2 linked regions of the Pelodiscus sinensis genome follow. The protein of the gene in region 2 interacts with the protein of the main gene of each other region in a biochemical or structural test. Links are inferred from orthologs where the notes say so. Each region holds a gene or a part of one and is shown on either strand. Other genes may lie near its edges. The genes, in order: PANX1 and CASP3.

Region 1 (10,097 bases), on a different chromosome or scaffold from region 2:
TGCTTCTTTGTACAGTTTTCAGCCTAAGTAAGCTTTAATTGTTTTACACAGACAACACAGTTCCTTTAAAAGGAGGAGTAACCGCTACAGCATATGACACAATTACTGTAAAACACAAGGCTCCTGTAAAGGGTATGGATCTCTTTTATTTAAATAATATAAACTTCAGCAGGTGGATGTATGGATTACTTACATGGTACTTTTTCTTTTGGCAGATGGTGATCAAAAAGGAATCAACTTCTTAGGCAAAACTCTGGGTGCAAGAGAAGCAAACTCAGTGCTCATAGCACTTTTTTCCATTGGCCTTGTCCTTCTGATCGCAATATTAATCTTCATCATCCTCATCACTTTCCAGAGAAAAAGGGTATATTACAGGACTGTGCAACCTAAGTGTGCACTCCCAACCGATTCCCTATAAATCTGTATTTTGAGGACCATTTATAGAGCTGTGTTGGATTTCATTGTATATTGTTGGTATAAATAAGGCAAGATACATGTTTGTGAGAGCCCAATCCTGCAGCCATGAAGCCACGTATGACATGGGCTGCATGTTTAAGCCCTGGTGACCATATCCTGCTTGTCTGTGCAGGCTGATTCTACTCTATGGAAGTCAGTGTGAGTTGAATTCAATGGGAGCCATCTCAGACGTCTATTCAAATGGTCCCACTGATGCCAATGTGACTGCTCACTTGAGTTAGGCAAGCAAGATTTGACTCTGACATATGAAAAAATGTATTAGGCTTCTGATTCTTTTGATGCTGTAAAATATAGTCAATCAATATTATTTTGAATTTGACTTGGATTGTGACTGGAGCCATGTGAAACTTAGCAGGGGATTGTGCAAGCCTGTTCTCCTGTTTCAGTTCATGTTTAATTATGATGGTGATTCTTGTTCAAATAAACAGTAAAACATATTGAGAAACCTGATCAAACTTACAACAAAGCCCAGGCTTTTCTTTTTATGCAAACTCGTATTGGCCGTAGATTCCCTCAAAAGATTGACAAGCCTCAGTGAACATGTTGACCCAGATGGATTAACTTTCTAGGGCTCACAAGGCTTCCCCTGGAGTTAATATGAACAGGAAGTGGGACCTGATCGTTGAAGGCAATGTAAAAACTCTTATTGGCTTCAGTGACTTTGGATCAGGTCATGACCCTGATTCTTAATGAACCCAAAACAAGTAACAAGAGTTTTGTGTGGTTTCTGTTTCACACAGCTCTAATGGTGAATCACTTTCAAATAAGTATACAAACATATTGGCTTTAAAGAGATTTTAACAGAATCTTGTGCTTAAAAAGTAATACACAGGACCAAATTATGCCCTCGAGTTCAGTACATCATCTTAGTGTTTCCAGTGAGTGCAATGTTTGCATGGGTGTTTATGAAGGCAAAATTTGGCCCATAATCCCTGTGATACAATAGTTATGTAATGGGATCTCCATTGGGTAATGCTATATTAAGCTATTTTCAGTGTGCCAGATTTTGAAAGTGCTTGTTCAAATCTAGAACATTTGAGTCATTGCAGCTACCCCCTAATGACAAAAACAGAATCTGGCCCACTGAACCTATCAAAGGTTAAGAGGGCTTTTTCTTTTCCCATTAAGTAAGATTGCTGTGTTTTGGGGTTGGTGGCCTTGGGTTACTAAAAAGAAAGTAGTCTGGTTTTGTAACTATTGCTTATTGTGGGCTTGATTCTGTGATGCTTACTTACACTTGTAGTAGCTTAATCCCTGATTTTTCAATGAGACTATTCAGGAAGTCAAGTACTTAATGTAAGAGTGATAGAATAAGGCAGGTCTAATATATAATGATACCCATGGGTGACTGGTGAGGGAGGACCTGGAGAGCCACCATCCACATGACCGGCCCCTCAGACCATGTGACAACCTGGGACAACCTCACTTCCATCCCAAGCCCCACCTTTCCCTGCGCCTGCTCTGCCTGCTTCTCATACCTGCCCTGCCTCTATGCAGCCTGAGATACTATGGGGGGGTCCCCCCTCACTCACTGGCAGAGGCTGGGGAAGTGGACTAATGTGGCCCCAGCTCGTTGTGCTCCCCAGGCCGCATCACTCCATTTCCTGCCAGCGAGTGCAGAGACAGTCCCACCTCTCCCCCAAGAAACACAGCCAGCGGAGCAGTGAAAGCTGCGGCTGCATTTTTCCACTTTCATCGCCACTGCTGGTGGTGAGTGTGGGGGGGGAGGGGAAGACCCCTGCTACTGATGTGAGCCTCCCCCCCCTTCTCATATTCTTGGACACCCAAGGAATCTGTCCCCGGTGGCTGCTTGCTGACCCCTTGCAACTCCTGCCCATGGCTTTAGGAATGCGCATGCCCCTTTGTGCTCTCTGTGCAATGCCCTGGTGATACTTGAATGTTTACAGCTCATTTCTGAATGAGCTATTGTTTATTCCTGCCACACAGATGTTCATGTCACCTACAACATTGGTGGATGAACTACAGAACTAAAGCAACCTTTCAGTTATGAATAGTTTATCTGAGTTTTTTTTACAATGTAAATTCAAGTTGGTGCACAATGTCATTTTTTTTCTCTTCTGTATTTAAAAATATGCTGCATCCTTGTAGGGAACTTTACTGACAATCACTTTGAATGTAGGTTAGTGGTGTTCTGGATTAATGCCCAAATCACCAAGGCTACGTCTACACTGGCCCCTCTTCCGGAAGGGGCATGTAAATTTCACGAGTCGTCGTAGGGAAATCCGCGGGGGATTTAAATATCCCCCGCGGCATTTAAATAAAAATGTCCGCCGCTTTTTTCCGGCTTTTAAAAAAGCCGGAAAAGAGCGTCTAGACTGGCCCCGATCCTCCGGAAAAAGTGCCCTTTTCCGGAGGCTCTTATTCCTACTTCAAAGTACTTTGAAGTAGGAATAAGAGCCTCCGGAAAAGGGCACTTTTTCCGGAGGATCGGGGCCAGTCTAGACGCTCTTTTCCGGCTTTTTTAAAAGCCGGAAAAAAGCGGCGGACATTTTTATTTAAATGCCGCGGGGGATATTTAAATCCCCCGCGGATTTCCCTACGACGACTCGTGAAATTTACATGCCCCTTCCGGAAGAGGGGCCAGTGTAGACGTAGCCCAACAGATAAAAGGTGTTAAAACAAAATCCTTGAGGTGCAGCTGTTTCTTGTTGTTTCTTTGGTCCTTTTGTTTCCTTCCAGTTTTTAAAAAAGCAAACAAAAATTCTAGATAAAAGGCCTGATCTTGCAACCTTTACTCATTTAAAATATTCTTTGAGAACATCAACTTGTGTGAGCTAGAGTGACAGGACTGGGCTCAAAATTAGGGTAGCAATTACATTGTACCACAAGCACTCCTTCAATCATTACTTTTAAAGCTTCCTTTATACTGGCTAAGCGTAATACCATTCGGGGGAACCACAGACATTCTAAAGACTAGTTTCTTTCCAACATGTAACCCACTAGCATTGAGGTCTGCTGTTCTTTGTTAAATACTGTCCAGAATGCTTGCATACCATATACAAAGAGAGTTACAGCTTTCACCCATGATGCAACATAAATAAAGCAATATTGTTTAAGTATTTCCATATGTGTTTGATGTTTATAACTGAATCATAAAACATTTAAATAAGATTTAATGCAGTGATTCTCAAAGAGTTACATGTTTATTATTACATGTGGATTGTGAATACATGCTCAAAAAAGAGAGCAGTTGCTATAGAATATATAACTTAAATCTACTGTTTTAGAAAGTTACACTACCTTTCCTCGGCAATGTAGTGTATTTACTTTAAAAAGTACTGTAAATGTATAATGCAGCAATCATTCCTAAATAAAATATATTGTTGTATTATCACTACTTTAAGGAGATGGGACTTTTAGGATTGTAGTATTGTGCTTGCAGGTTTGTAGTCTTGAGACTAAACAGGTGGAACTGAGACAACATTAGAGGGCTTGATTGTTCAGCAGCTGAAGAGCGAATTAAACCACAGACCAATCAGAACACTGAGATCAGCAAAAAGAAAGTAATTTATAATTCACTGCTGTGAAAAGTGATATTGACAAAATTATTTCATACCACTCCCATATTAAGCAGTAATTATTTATAAAATAAACTTTCTGCTTATAAGAACAATCTGCTATATATTTGAAAGAGTTTGACCACCAAATTTGGTATACAGATTCCTCTTACTAGAACATAAAGCAAGGTGGGGGTTTGGTTGTGCCAAGAAAATGGGATGTGCCTGGAATGGGATTGCTTCTCAGAAAACCATACAAAAAAAGTCACCAGGCAGGTTAAAGGGGCTGGCTTCGGGAGCCCCCTTCCACTCCTTATCTGGGACTGCTCCAGCTCCAATCCTCCCACTTCTGAAGTGCCCTTTAGGGAGAGTGGGGGGAGACATTGTTACTTTGTACTTCCCAACCTTCCTCTCTGTTTAGTTGTTTTATCTTACCAGATGCTCAGAGTATAAACTTTTTGTAGCAGAATCTGTATTTTATTACATGTGTACTGCATCTAACAATATGGGACTGACTGCTCCCATTTTCTAGAGGAGCTTTGTGAAATAGGATAATATTCTTACTTCAGGTGCAAATCCCAAATAAGCTTTCCAGGACAGCATATTTCCATTTTAGTCTGAACATCAGGAAAATGTCTATGCTAAGGTCTTGACAGACTGTAGACTAATCTTGCTAGAAAGAAGCCCTTCTGATCAAATCATGTACAGTTGAACTGGAGAATATTTACAAACAAAAGCAGGGGCACTGAGGCAGACATCATCCATGCCTTCTACTAGATGCTAAAATCCAACAGACAAAAAAGGTAGGTTAACTGTCTTGTTAGAATCATATATGGAATTTCAGCTGAAGTGAATGAGGATTCTGCATGACAGAGCATTTGAAATACTCATCATTTTCATCATTAATTTAATCATGAAAGTAGGTTACCCCTTTAAAAATCAATGAACCAGTAACACATCAATCTGGTTCCACTGGTTCTGGGCTTTCTGGTGGTGGAGAAAGCCGCAGTTTATCCCATAAACAGAAGGGAATGGAGGTCACTAGACTCAATCCAAAACAAAAATTCCCACAGAAAGTGAACCTTTCAGAGACCAGATGGTTTAGACAGAGATTTTCTTGTCTCTCCCTGTAGAAATAAGCCATTAGCATTCAATCAGACAGTTGCCATTGCACACACTTTCTATATGGAGTATTACAGGCTGCAGAGCAGCCAGCTAGCCATAATAATACATGTTGCAACTTGTAAGAAGCACTGGGAGTAAACCAGGGCTTAATTTGTAATGAAAGAGGTGCTGGGGCTCAAGCAATGTTTACATTTATAACTGACGCAGCAAGCCCAGAGGTACAAGGGCTATGAACTGCCAAGCCTAAAGGTGCTAGGGCACAGCCTTGGCAAAAAGTAAGTACTGGAATAATCTCTGATGTAACTCCAGTGCTTTGGCTTAAATTCAGTGGGGGCTGCCACAATTTATATGCAAAGGATTAACCTGCCCACAGACTTCTAATCTCCCCGCGAGAGCTTTGGCTTGTTTCTCTGCTCGCCCTGCGGCAAGCCAGGCGTAACGCCGCTGAAATCAGGCGCGACGCTGGTTTAAAACCATCGCGGCTGGAGGCCCAGGCTCTTTGGCCGCTGGTACCGTTCCTTTCTGCATGCACAACTGTTCTCCAGTGGATGTGCCACGCAGAGACCCTGCTCCCCCAAACCACAACGCGGCAGCTCCACAAGGTAGCTCGGGAGGAGAAATGGGACCGGGGGCACCTCATCTCACCCCAGTTCTTGCCTGAGGGAGGGCCCGCGGGGCTGTGGTGAGACATGGATCGGACACTCCCGCGTGGGCCCAATCCTGCCAGCCCCTCCCCATGCTCTGCGGGCACAACCAGGCGCTCTGACCGCACGCCCGGGCAGAGCGAGGGCAGCAGCCCGCCCGTTGCCGCGCGCATGCTCACTACAGCCCGAGTAGCGAACGCCGCGAGGCCGTTGCTGGCCCGAGGCCCCGGGGCGGGAGGAGGCGCCTGGGCGAGGTGAGGGCGACGCGAGCCGGACAAAGGGCGGGAGGCGCGAGCAGGAAGCGAAAGGGAAGGAGGCCGGCGCGCCTAGGCCCGGCCGCGGGGTGCTGAGGGCGCCCCCGGCCCGCCATGGCCATCGCCCACATCGCCACCGAGTACGTCTTCTCCGACTTCCTGCTGAAGGAGCCCGCCGAGCCCAAGTACAAGGGGCTGCGGCTGGAGCTGGCGCTGGACAAGCTGGTCACCTGCGCGGCCGTGGGGCTGCCGCTGCTGCTCATCTCGCTGGCCTTCGCGCAGGAGATCTCCACAGGTACCCGCCCCGCCCCGCCTCGCCTGCGGGCTCCAGCCGGGCTCGGCCCCTGCCCCTGGGGGCGCTCTGACAGCTCTCGGTGTCTGGTCCTAGCGCGCCGGGGTGCAGCCCCGAGCCTCGCCCTGCTCCCTGCCTGCCGCAGGTCGGGCTGCATCGGCGCGCAGGGGAGCGTCACACGGGTCAGCAGAGAATCTGACCTGGCCCCGGGCCGGACAAGAGTGGGGCTAGGAGCCGCGAGTGGGCTTTAGGAAATGATGCTGTGCAGCCAGTTGGCTTTCCTGCCCCGCTGGCGATGCGGAACCAGTCACCGTTCAGAACCGGGTTGAATTCATACACATTGCATCACATTGACTTGAATTTTAACATGCAGGCGAGCAGAGAGATGGTTCGAGTAAACGTGCTGCATCCAATTAAAATATCCTCCCTAAGGGAAGAAGAGGAAGAGAAAACTAGATAGCACATCTATGTAGAGACCGGAGCAGATTCTGTATTACAGATTGCAGGCTAAATGGGACAGAGCTGTCAGACTGATCAGGGCGCATGGGAGAGGAATGTATCTGAATAATTAAAATTATAGTTCTGCTTTGCTGTGAATAGAGTGGCTGGTTACAGATGAACTGCGCTTAGGGCTTAAGAAAAGCTGATAGAAATGTCTTTTTTTTTTTAAGGAACTGAGTCTTCTTTTGTGTGTGACTTATCAGCCTTCGCATTGTGTCTTTACAATATTCAGTGTTCCACTTCCAGACCAGTGGTTCCCAAACTTTTCGGCATTATGCCCCCTTTTTGATTTTTGAGAAACCCTCGCGCCCTCCCCCCCTCCAAAAAAATAACATCAAAATTTGGAGTGGGATTGACGAGGGTGTGTGAGACTAGGTCACCTGGCGCTACCCCTGGAATTTCTTCATGCCCCCCAGTTTGGGAACCTATGTCCTAGACTGATACATTTTTGCTCTAAAAAAATGACAAAATCATTGTGGTAGATAATCAGGTCCCAGTATGGTCAGAAGAGGTACAGTGTTGCAATTCTGGGATAAATATATAGGGGGTATCTCAATTAGAAGCAGAGAGATTATTATACAGGTTGGACCTCTCTAGTCTGGCACCCTTGGGACCTGACCGTCCCGAATGAGGGAATTTGCCAGAGCAGGGAAGGTTTCCTCTTATCAGCCCCTCAGCCCACTAACCCTCCCTGCTGTCCCAGCCATTGTCCCTGCTGAGTTGCAGTGACCCAGCTCTCTTGCCAAGCTCCATTACCAGAACTGCTGCAGCCCTGGACATTAGGGCAGGCCCTAGCCACTGGAGCAGTCCTCAACTTTGGCTACTGGGGTGATTTCACTGCCAGGATGGTCAGGTCCCAGCCCTGCTGCTGCAAGCCACTCCCATCCCTGGTCTCCCAGCCTAACAGGGCTCCCAGCTGCCGGCCTTCCTGCCACAGGAATCCCAGCCGGGAATTTCCTGGTCCCAGTTTTTGGAGGTCCAACCTGTACCTCTCTGTTTGGCACTGGTACTAGCACTGCTGGAATACAATACTCAGGTCAGCTGTCCACACTTCAGGAAGGTTATTGATAAACTGGAGAGTGATCAGAGAAGATCCACACAAAATTTTAAATAATTAGGAAACATATCTTATAATGATAGACTTAAAAAGCTCAATCTAGTTGCTGGCCTTCCAATCTATGAATCAGGTACATGCAATATGTTACAAAATTCTCATTGAATTCTGTTGGAATTTCATGCATTTAATGACACGTAAAGATGGCCCATAATTTATACACTGGCAGAGGCTTATAAAACAAAGCTTTATTACACAGCTAAAAAAGAGTGATTATATAATATTTGTATTTATCTCAGATACTTGGATATGTGTCCGTATTGGAGACAGTAGGTGACAATCTAGATAAGTTGCTATCTGCTCTTTCACTTTCAACTTCATTTAACCACTAATATCTCATTGTGGTCACACTTGAAAAAATAATGTAAATTTGATTTACAGCTTTATTAATGCTTTCAGTTGGATTTCAGTAAACTGTCATGGGTATTTTCTTGACCTTCATTACTGTGGTATCTATGGGTCTCGCTATCATTAAATTTTTCTTCAAGGGATCATTCATGTCAATTCCAATCAGATGTGTGCTTGCCCACATGCACAGTAAGGATGTAAGTGACTAGTAGCAACTATCAGAGACAGTGGAAGGGGAAGGGAGCAGGAGCCAGTGTTGAGGAGAGCCGGCTCCCCCAGCACTGTCTCTCCAGTGGGCAGCGGAGGTAGAGGCACAGTGGGAAACAGCACAAGCGGGGAATGAAGCAGTCTCCACTTGCGCCTCTTCTGCTGCAATTCTGCTTTTGAAATGTACAAGAATTCCACTGGGGCTCTTGTACATTTCGAAAGTTTAGGCATGGCAGGGAGTACCTGGTTAGTCCCCTGTTGGCTCCGCACTCCCTGTGGGGCTTCCACTTTTGAACTGTAGCAAGGCGCCCTTATAAACTAATCGAATAGTCAATGGGATTTCCATTGACTATTGTGACGACGCGTTGGGGTACCCCCGACTTCTGCACCCCCGTAATGGCACGAACGGACTCCACCAGCCAGTAGAATAGAGGGAGTTTATTGCTTCTCCAGGATACAGCACAGATGTAATTTGGTTACAGGGCAGGCCTAGGATGCCTCAGCCCCCCTTGAGATGGGGGATAGTGGGCCCCTAAATTCCAGCCCCCTTCCCTAGGCTGTCTCCTCCATGATCCCAGACAGAAAACTAACTGTCTTCCAGCCCTGCCCCCCCAGCCAGGGGCAGCATTCCACCTTCCCTTGTTTCTCCCCATGGGGGGTAGCTGGTCAGACAGGTTTGGAGCCCCCTTTGCATAATGACTCACCTCCTGCCCTGCTGGGTCGTGGTTCGGACAGCAGAGGTCGCCCCCTGCCCAGCATAGCAACGAACAAGGCACCCCCACTACGTCACAACTATTCAATTATTTAATCTAAATTTAACACCCCTAGTGCACAGAAGCTGGAACGTTTTTCCCTACGAGAGCCATAGGATTGGTTTTCATGGCGCCGTGCTGACCTGTTGCCCTTTCAGTTCCTTCTTACTGTCAGTGATATAATAGCTGGAACTTCCCTCTGTCTTGCTCTGGCAAGAGACTTAGCAGTTTGACTTCTTCTGTTTTCTCAGTTAGTATAGTAGTTCATAGTTGATTAGTTATACATTTCTATTTTGAAGACTTCCCCCCCTCCTCTTCTTCCTTGCTGTTCCCAGGGCATACTGTGATCTCTGGGTTTCAAGATCTGCAAGGACTGAGCAAAGCACATGCCAAAGAGTGACCCTTACACATACCATTTACAGTGTCTGGGCAAAGGTCATCAAAAAGACCACTTGAAAATCTGTTGGAAATTCTGACCAAGTGCTCTAAAAGAAAAGGAACAGCAGCTAACGAGCCTCCTGATGGAGACAGCTCTCCCACCTCAGAGTCCATAAGGCACATCTTTGGTGCATAGTGTGCCAATGCCCTCTTCAAGGAACCATGTGCTGAAAAAAGTCACTTAAAGAGCCTTGGCCCTGACATGGAGCATGTCAGGGACACTCCAGCCTTCAGTATCAGTCTCTGTTGCCAGTGCAGAAGAAGAGGAAGGGTTTCCTGGGGTCAAACCCATTTTCAGTGGATCCATCTGTGGCACCAGTTCTGTGTCACCACAAGTACAACTCCTAATACAGATGAGAGATTATGAAAACTAATCTCATCAAATCCAAGCTGTTTTTTTTTTCAACCCCAAAGGACCAGACACATT
Region 2 (9,400 bases):
GGCAGAGTCCAGTGACAGCAGTCTGGCAGAAATATCATTCTCACTCTTCCTAGTAGGAGAAAGAGTGGTTCTCAAACTTTTGTACTGGTGACTCCTTCCACACACCAAGCCTCTGACTTCAACCATTCTTATAAATTAAAAACACGTTTAAAAATATTTAACACTATTATAAATGCAGGAGGCAAAGCGGGATTTGGGGGCAACACTCTGGTCACCTGAAGAAGTGGGTTGTGCCCACGAAAGCTCATGATACCATCTACATGTTTTGTTAGTCTTTAAAGTGCTACTAGACTTTGTTGCTTAAGTTTTTCCTGTTATGGACTAACTTGGCTACTCCTCTGAAGCACATTATTATTATTTGTACTATGTCAGTGACCGAGCAAATACTAACCTTTTCCTTTTAAAGTGCTAATTCCACACTCTGTTACATGTGGGCAGACCTACCTAAACAGACTGACTCTAATTTCAAGGAGGGATACATGGCTACTTGTGTGTATCAAGATAGGCTTTCCTAAACCTCCAATGCCCCACCTTCCTGCTCTGGAAAAATGAGTTGAGGTACCGTTTTTCATTAAAGATTCTAAAAAAAAAAAGTGGGTAAATGCTGCAGCCAGTTTTCTGTCCTACACTGTAATTTAGTATTACTATATGTTAGTAGAGAGAGGGGAGAGGAGCTTGTTGGCTCCAGGCTCCCTGTGGGGCTTCTACTTTTGAAACATACAAGAGCTCTGTGGGGTTTTCACTTTTGAACTGTAACAAAAGGCAGGATTCTTGCTACAGTTCAATGGCAGAGGTGCCCTTATCAACTAATCGAATAGTTGATGGAAATCCAATTGAGTAATTGATTAGTTCAGGGTGGCCAACCCCATTACAGACAAAGAGCCAAAACAGTGGTGGATACAATGGAAAGAGCAAAGGGAAAGAAGTTGCTGAGCAAAACAAACAAACAAACAAACAAAAAAAGCTGCCTCTTTACCAGCCATGTGTGACCCAAGCTTCCGTCGGCCGGAAAGTTGAGCAAAAAAACCAACAAAAAACAAAAAACCCACAAACCAACCAAACAAAAATGCTGCCTCTTTAAGAGCTGCGTGTGCAGGAACAGTAATTTTTCCTTTGAAGAACCACGGGTTGGCCACCCCTGGATTAGTTCATTAATCTAATTTTAACTTCTGTAGGCCACACAATGCATCTTCCCTTGCACTTGCTCCCAACCCCTGGCTAGACACCCTATTCCCAAGCCTGCTCCTGCACACTACCTACCATCCAGACCTCAAACCCTCACCACCTCCTGCACCTCACCTCCCACCCAGATCCTACACCCCCAATTCCTCTCACTGGCAGCTGTCCCATACACTGAACCCCTCATTTTTTGGCCCAACCCCAGAGCCTGGGGGGAGGGTCCACAAAATCCACTAACTCTGGAACCTCAAAAGAGCAAATCTGGTCTCTGGGAAGCACTGAACATTCAGTCCTCCCTGGCCCTCCCCCTTCCCCAATGGGGCTGGAGCACCAGAGGAATGAAGTATCTCAGTTGGGGGCCACATCAGTGAGGGTTGGGGGATTTTTTGAGGGTTTTTTTTTCTACTCACTTGTGTGGTCCCCAACTGATTTTTCTGTGGGCCGGTGACAATCAATACAAAAAAGGTTTCCTACCCCTGCCATAAAGTAAACATGGGAACCTTTTGTGTTGGACATAAATTAATATTTAACTTTATTTAAAATGACGTTTGGTAAACTACCATGATAAAGTTCAAGTGCTTAATCTGTTTAATAATTTAAATTAATATTTCCTTTCTTACTGGTTAAATTAAACAATTCTCCCTAGCTTCAGCACTAGCAAAATGACTTGTGTGTAATTAACGAGTTTCCATTAGCAATTGGTGATCCATGGAAAGGTTTGCATTGACCTAAGTGGGCCACAAGCCAAAAAGTTTGAAAACCACTGCTATATGTGGACAGTAAAACACCAGAAATATTAGACCTTTAGTTTAATTTATCATTACTATTTCCAAACAAAACCTTAAAGTCAATTCAATTAGTCACTTAGATTTCAACATTTTCCTACAGCACTGTGAAGGAATAGGAAAGACAGAAACGAACACTAGAAAACTGAAAACGGTTGGACTAGTCCAGTGTTTCTCAACCAGTATGAGTACCTTCAGTGGGAGAGAAGTCTGGGGGGTACATCAACACAACTGAAATTTGGAGAAAAATGAATTTTTGTTTTAAGTTTTACAGCATTTTATTATTTTTGTACTTTTTACAATCAAAAATTTAATCACCCGCCTGGCTACGATTAAGTTGTTTAAACAAATATGTTACAATTGTAGAAAAAAAGCGTGTGTCTCTGAAAACTGTAGGTACTGGGGGTACTTATATATATTTTTAAAGGGGGGTATTTTATAAAAAAAGGTTGAGAAACACTGTGGCTACGTCTAGACTGGCATGATTTTCCGCAAATGCTTTTAACGGAAAAGTTTTCCATTAAAAGCATTTGTGGAAAAGAGCGTCTAGATTGGCACGGACGCTTTTCTGCTAAAGCACTTTTTGCGGAAAAGCGTCCGTGCCAATCTAGACGTGCTTTTGCGCAAAAAAGCCCCAATCGCCATTTTCACAATCAGGGCTTTTCTGTGCAAAACTAATCTCAGCTGTCTACACTGGCCCTTTTGCACAAAAGGACTTTTGCCCAAACAGGAGCAGCATAGTATTTCCGCAAGAAGCACTGTTTTCTTATATGAGATCGTCAGTGTTCTTGCGGAAATTCAAGTGGCCAGTGTAGACAGCTGGCAAGTTGCTGGAAAAACTTGCCAGTCTAGACACAGCCTGTGACTCTAGTTGCAGATAAGAGGAAAAGGAAAGCCTCTTGCATTATATTATAAACATTATATTCTTTAATTCCTATTACATCCATATATTAACTTTTACTGTTCCTTACTCTCATCTTTGACACTGTAATGCAGTATGGGTCCGGGCTTGTCTACATTTGGAAATTTCCTGGAATTATTTCAGAACCAGCCCACATGAAATAAGCTAAACTGAAAGGAGCTCCCGGGCTAGTGCCTCGCACAGAAATAACTGACTAATTTTTTCGCGGGAGGTGACTGGCCCAAGCGCACCCCGTTAGCGCATCCTCTCGCTCTGCACAGGCACAGGACACTTCGCACCCCAGAAGCGGCCGCATTTCCGCGGCGGGGGGGGGGGCGGGGGCGGGGGGCTGGGGAAAGGCGCGCGCGAGGAGAGGGGGGGCAGATGCCTCGGGGCAGTGACCCCGGATTGTCTATTGCTCCCACGCACGGGGGCGAGGCGGCGAGGACGAGCCGAGGCCCCTTTTCTGAGCGGGCCGCGGAGTCCCGGGCTCGCTCCGAGCCCGCCCTGGGGAGCGGCGCCGCCCCTGCTCTTTGTTCGCCCCAAGGCGGCGGGGCAGGAACTGCCCGGGCCAAGCGGGGCCGCGCCGCCATGCGAGCAGCCAGGCTCCGGCAACGCGCCCGCCCCCGGCACGGGGACCCCCCCGCTCGATCGCTGCCCGCCGCCCCGCGCCCCACACGGCCGCCGACCTGCCTCCGCCGGCTGCCGCTTCCCCTCGGATCCAGACGCACGCGCGCTGCGGGCGGGTGTCGGTTGGACTCAACTGCGCGCTCAGCTCCGCCCCGGCCCCGCCCAGCTGGGGGAGGGGGCGCGGGGCGGCGGCTGTTTCAAAGGGCGGCCAGGGCGCGCTGAGCTGGCGAGCGTGTCTCTCCCCGCACCCCCAGGTGAGTCGGGCTCGCGCTGTGAAGGGGGAGCGGGGGCTGGTCGCAGGGCGAGGCGGGCAGCCCTTGTGCGGGTGGGGAGGGAAATAGGCGCCGAAATCAGAGCCGGGGTGGGGCTATGAAAGGGGGAGACAAGTGGCCAGACCGGAGCCGCGGAAGTGACCCCGCGCAGAGCGCGGGCTGTTGGGGTTGGGTTGGGGGGGGGGGGTAGAGAAAGGGAAGCCCTGCGCCGCCTCCCGCCAGCTGTGCTCTCCACGCTGCAGAGTAGGCTCTGCAGCTTTTTATTTTCAAAGTTGAATTGCTGCGCTGCCAGGGGAGGAGACTGGCTTTAGTGAAATATTTCACACCCGTCCTCTGAAGGCTCTCCAGGAGTATCAAACCTATCTTTGACGTGACATTAATTCCTTGTCAGTTTACCCAAGGGAAACACGCACAGCTTAATAGCAGCTCAGAAAATTTATTTTAGTTGGTGCTCTGATGGCCTCAGTAGTACCCTGTTCCCTGGAAACCACACTTACAGTGGACTACATCTGTTTTTGCTCTTGTGAAACTAGGATTTAGGTCAGAGGCAATGTTCCCTTCACTTTTCCCACTTGTCTACAGAATAAACTTTTTGTTATCTATACAGAGGCATGTGCAGATGAGTGCCACCAGAAGAAGCACATGCTGTCAGCTGTGGGCACTCTGCTAATTAGCTGGGTGATATTTGAATTTCTCCTGGGTGGCCACCTGAGTGCATGGCTTAGCACAGCAATGGAGACAGACTCACCTAGGCTAGTGAATGCATCGTGTGTGTAGCCCTCCTTCATCTTACTGGGCCATAAGGTTGTTACAAACACTGTCTCCTGGGTTAGGGTAGTTTTGCCAACTCCGCTTGCATACCTAGAATTTGCAGCAGGTACTGTTTGAATCACAGCAGCACTTTGAATGCAGATGGACCACACTGTTTTTACGGTCAATGTTGAGTGAAATGAGCACACACCTCACTTCCTGTGTCACATTAGTAATACCGGTAGGAAAAAACACTGTGAATGGAAGCTAGCAGCATCTAGCAATCCTCTGCATGAACGGTGGTAAACAAAATGTCTTGTAGGCTACCCATATAACCTCAATTTATCACATCTGTGCTGGAGGTTGCCCACCAGTGGCTTAGAGGGAACAGTGGTCTGGGTATATAGCAAACAGAAGGTACCTACATCTGGGCTACGTCTAGACTGGCATGATTTTCCGCAAATGCTTTTAACGGAAAAGTTTTTCCATTAAAAGCATTTGCGGAAAAGAGCATCTAAATTGGCACGGACGCTTTTCCGCAAAAGCACTTTCTGTGGAAAAGCGTCCGTGCCAATCTAGACACGGTTTTGCGCAAGAAAGCCCCGATCGCCATTTTTGCCAACGGGGCTTTTTTGCGCAAAACAGTTTTTAGCTGTCTACACTGGCCCTCATGCACAAAAACATTTCCGGAAAAGGGCTTTTGCCTGAACGGGAACGTCAAAGCATTTGCGCAAGAAGCACTGATTTCAGACAGTAGAACGTCAGTGTTTTTGCGCAAAATCAAGAAGCCAGTGTAGCCAACTGGCAAGCTTTTGCGCAAAAGTGGCTGCTTTTGTGGAAAAACTTGCCAGTCTAGACGCAGCCTTGGTGTAAAATTAAAAACTAAGCCTATTCCATACTAACCACCCTGACTTGAAAATGTCACCGCCTCTTTTCCCTTCCTTGTGAGTTTCTTGAGACATGACCTTCACCATTCCTCACTAAGTTCTGGAGGTTACTGTATTCTATGCCAGCAGCCTGCTAATAGCCCCCATACACAAGGTTCTCTTCTTGCTATCTTTATTGACAGCCTATAGAATTTGGTAATCAAAGCATGATTGATCTCTAAATGTACACATGTATCTCTCTCTTCATATATCAGTGACAACTCTGCCAATATGTGCCTACTTAATCCTTCAATCATTTAATACAGTGACATTGAACCCAGTTAATGGCAGTTGTATGGCAAGTTGATAAATACTGGAATTCAAATCTGAGACTCCATGTAAACAATGGCACGGTCTTGTAAACCTGCCTCGTGTTTTCTTACAAATGCAGCTATGCTACTGCACCGTTTCTAGTAGCTATTGTGAGTACTGGAGGATAAACTGCCATCTAAAGGTCTAGAGGAGGCAGAAAGGTAAGTGGGATATCTGACAGGGATCTCTACCTCTGTTAAAGTTACTACTGAGGACAAGAACGGAGAAAGAGGGGAAAGGGTAGAAAAATTGTGACAGTCATCTAACAGAACTTGCTATCCTTATTTCCTGGCCAGTAATCAAATACTGATAGGTACCCTGACAATCAAATGGACAAGGATGATGAGTGAGGCTTCAATTTATTTGAAGAGGTCATGGCAGTCCAAGTAAAGCCACAGCATCTTTATTTGTATAAATTATAGGGCTACAGGAAGTGGAGATGGGATTGTGTGCCCCTGCCCTGCAGCTAGGGCTGGCTGGAACCAGGACCCTGCAGCCCAACTTGTGGCTCTAATTGGGGACTGCAGCTTGGGCCATGTCCTTCAGTCTGGCATTTGTCAAGGGCTGCACTAGGAAAATGGGGGTAGTATGCACCTGTGGCAGCCCACTAATTTTTACCTCTCTCCCCCCTCCACGTGTTCCTAGCTGTGGCTGAGGTTTGGGGAGGGGGACGACTGCTACCTGGGCTACTCATCCATGTCCTGCAGCTGCTGGAGTCGGGGCTAAATCTTTAAATATATGGTGCTTGAGTGAAATGAGGCTCATGGCAGGGTTCTCGGCCTGTCAGTCCCCCTTTTCTCCCCTGGGACTCCATTCCTCCCCCTTACCTAGCCCTGCCCCCAGATTATTTTTGAGTGTCACAGCTCTCTGAATTTTTGTATTTTGCTTGTCACTTTTAGTAAAATTAACAATGATAAAATCTTAGCCTTAGTGATGGTTAGCAAATTCTGACAGACCATGTGGTATGTCATTGTGTTACCAGTAGCAAATTCTGACAGGATCTAACTTTACAACACTATCATGGTACAAACTTAAAAAACAACAAACAGTCTAGTAGCACTTTAAAGACTAACAAAACATGTAGATGGTATCATGAGCTTTCGTGGGCACAGCCCACTTCTTCAGATGACTGGCGTGTTGGATATCCAGAACCAACGTCATAGTACAGTTAGTCTTCCCCTTCTGCTTCACACAGTGGACCAGTCACTCCTATCACAATCCACTGCATTAATCAGTTCTTCTGGGAGCTATGAGAATTTCCCTGGTGGCAGTGTGTTTCTTTCTTTACCATAAAATGCAAGTGTAAGGCTTTGTCTATGCTACACAGCCTTCAGTGGCATAGCTCTGTCACTAAAAGTCAGGCAGTATAGTCACTGATTGTTGGCACTTTTGCTGACAAGGTACCCCCAATGAGCAGTGTTCACATTGTTGACAGAAGAGTTCTCCTGCTGATACTGTTCACACTGACGCTTGCTGCAGCAAAACTTTTGTCTTTTGGGAGGGGGAGGAGAGGTTAGGACCACTGAATGACAAAAGTTTTGGTGCTCAATTGTCAGTACAGCTGGTCCCCCAACTTACCAACAAGTTACAGACCAAACACTTGGTCATAAGGTGAAGTGTTCATAAGTTGGACCCCATTCATTTACATGCAACCGTGCTGTTCGAAACTTGGGGACCGCCTTTATGACTGCTTAATGGGAGGTTTGGTCGTAAGTACAAACGGTCGTAAATCGACCATTTGTAACACGGGAACAGGCTGTAAAGACATAGGTTAAGACATGGGGATAAATCTAAGTGAAATAGGATTGATGAGCTGGATGTAGTGAGCTCTAATGTGGCATTCACCCATAGTCCAGTACTAATATTTTAAACACATGATTCTCCAGTGTAATGAGGTTCAGGGATATGTTGCTGAGAACTCTTTTCAGTAACAGATCAATGTTCTATTCTATAGGTCTCTTTAGCATCAGCCTCTTTGGTTATATCTGTGCTAATAAATCCCTCTAGGGCTGTTGCTACACTTCAAAGGTGAAAGTGCTGTATGGAGTTCAGGGTCAGCTGGGGACTCCCACACACTTTGAAATGCCACATGCAGCCTGGGGCCACCCTAGCTGGCCCCAGGCTTCATGCAGCATTTCAAAGGGGCAGTGCTGTGTGGAGCCCAGGTTCTGGCCCTAGGCTTCAAACAGCGCTGCTACTTTTAAGCACCCTCTGCTCTTCTCCCACTCCCTTTCTGTCAACTGTGGACAATAGGAGCTGCAAGTGACTGAACATGTGGATGTGTGAGTAAAAAAAAAACATCTGGCAATCCTCCAGAGGCTAACCCTGGTGAACCTCATCTGTCCTGTGGATTACTTATTATCCACCTCTGATCTAGTAGGTAGAAAGGATGTGAATGCTTAACCAGTAAGCCTTGCCTTTATTGGATGAAACTTATAGTTCTGGTTAACTGGTGAAGGCAGTAGTAGCTCCCTGCCTTCCACAGCAAGGGGTGTTCCAATTGTCCAGAGCAGTCCCTGTCTACAGGGGTTGTTTTAGCAGGCTGGAGCAGCCCTGGACTGGAGTGGGCCCCTTACCTGCCCTTTAATCAGTTAACCAATTAAATGGGATTTTACATCCCCCTAGTAGGTAGTGTCCTCCTGAAGTGGTACAGTGGTGTAGCTGTTCCATCACAGCATCTTAAGCGCAGACGAGCCCTTAATTATAGTTTGCCTCAACTTCCCATTAATTGATCAGGAGGCCTGACTTTAAAAAAAGTTCCAAAATTTCATAGATCCAAAAGATCAAGTTACCAAACTACTTTGTATTTTGTGGCTTTAAAAATATGAATTCTCTACTACTACATTTTAATTCCTAGAATTTTTCCTTCCTTACTTTTGGAAACTGTGCTCCCCCAGATTTCTCTTTTGCGCAAGGCAAAAATTTGGCCACAAGGGCAGGCAATGAGTTTTCTCTAGCAACCATCTTCTGATCTCCACAACTGGGTTTTGAACTGGAAGCAGAGCTAGAGAAATCAACTATGGAGAAAATTAGGAATAAACATGTTTTACATAATCAAAGTCATGCACAGCAGATACATGAGAAGACTGATTCCCTTTCCCTAGGGCTATTTCTACACTACGAGTTTTCTTGGCAAAAAATATGTTAATGAGGGACTCATTTGCATATCCTCTGCCGATCTGTTTTTGCGCTAGGGTTTTTGTGCAAAAACAAGCAGTGTGGACGTTTTCTTTCTGTGCAAAAACCTCTTTTCCTGCAAGATCGGGATTTTCGCAAAAATAAAATGTCCACACTGTTTTTGTGCAAAAATAAGTATCAGCAGAAAATATGAAAATAAGTCCTTCATTAACATATTTTTTGCCGAGAAAACTTCTTGTGTAGATGGAACCTAGGTGTTTATAATCGAAGTTCCTACGAATTCTGTATTGCCAGTCCTAAAAAGTGTTTAAAAAAAATCTTGAGGCAGGCCCCACAAAATCATGAGGATTAGCTTTAAAATCATGATAAGTGTTTTATTTGCCTTTTGCTTTTTGAGCTGTTAGGATTAGTGTTTTTTAGCCTTTCTCTAACTATGAAGTCTAAACATCTATTTTAAAGAATGAAAGCTGAGATTCTCATGACTTCAGGAACTGGAATGTTAAAAAC

What was found.
Region 1: of the proteins of CASP3 (region 2) and PANX1, one has a biochemical effect on the other in vitro, tested with the Homo sapiens proteins (2 studies listed by IntAct). The link is inferred for Pelodiscus sinensis from reciprocal best matches to the Homo sapiens genes CASP3 and PANX1.

What each region holds. Positions count from the first base shown.
Region 1 is NC_134711.1:305,532,514-305,542,610, forward strand, and holds the start of PANX1 (pannexin-1), read left to right. Parts: upstream 1-5,758; 5' UTR 5,759-6,132; coding exon 6,133-6,313; intron 6,314-10,097. Other genes in the region: ferroxidase HEPHL1, read left to right, coding at 52-132, 216-418. UniProt on the Homo sapiens protein: Ion channel involved in a variety of physiological functions such as blood pressure regulation, apoptotic cell clearance and oogenesis.
Region 2 is NC_134715.1:76,148,652-76,158,051, forward strand, and holds the start of CASP3 (caspase-3), read right to left. Parts: upstream 3,684-9,400; 5' UTR 3,559-3,683; exon of another isoform or gene 3,555-3,558; intron 1-3,554. UniProt on the Homo sapiens protein: Thiol protease that acts as a major effector caspase involved in the execution phase of apoptosis. Following cleavage and activation by initiator caspases (CASP8, CASP9 and/or CASP10), mediates execution of apoptosis by catalyzing cleavage of many proteins.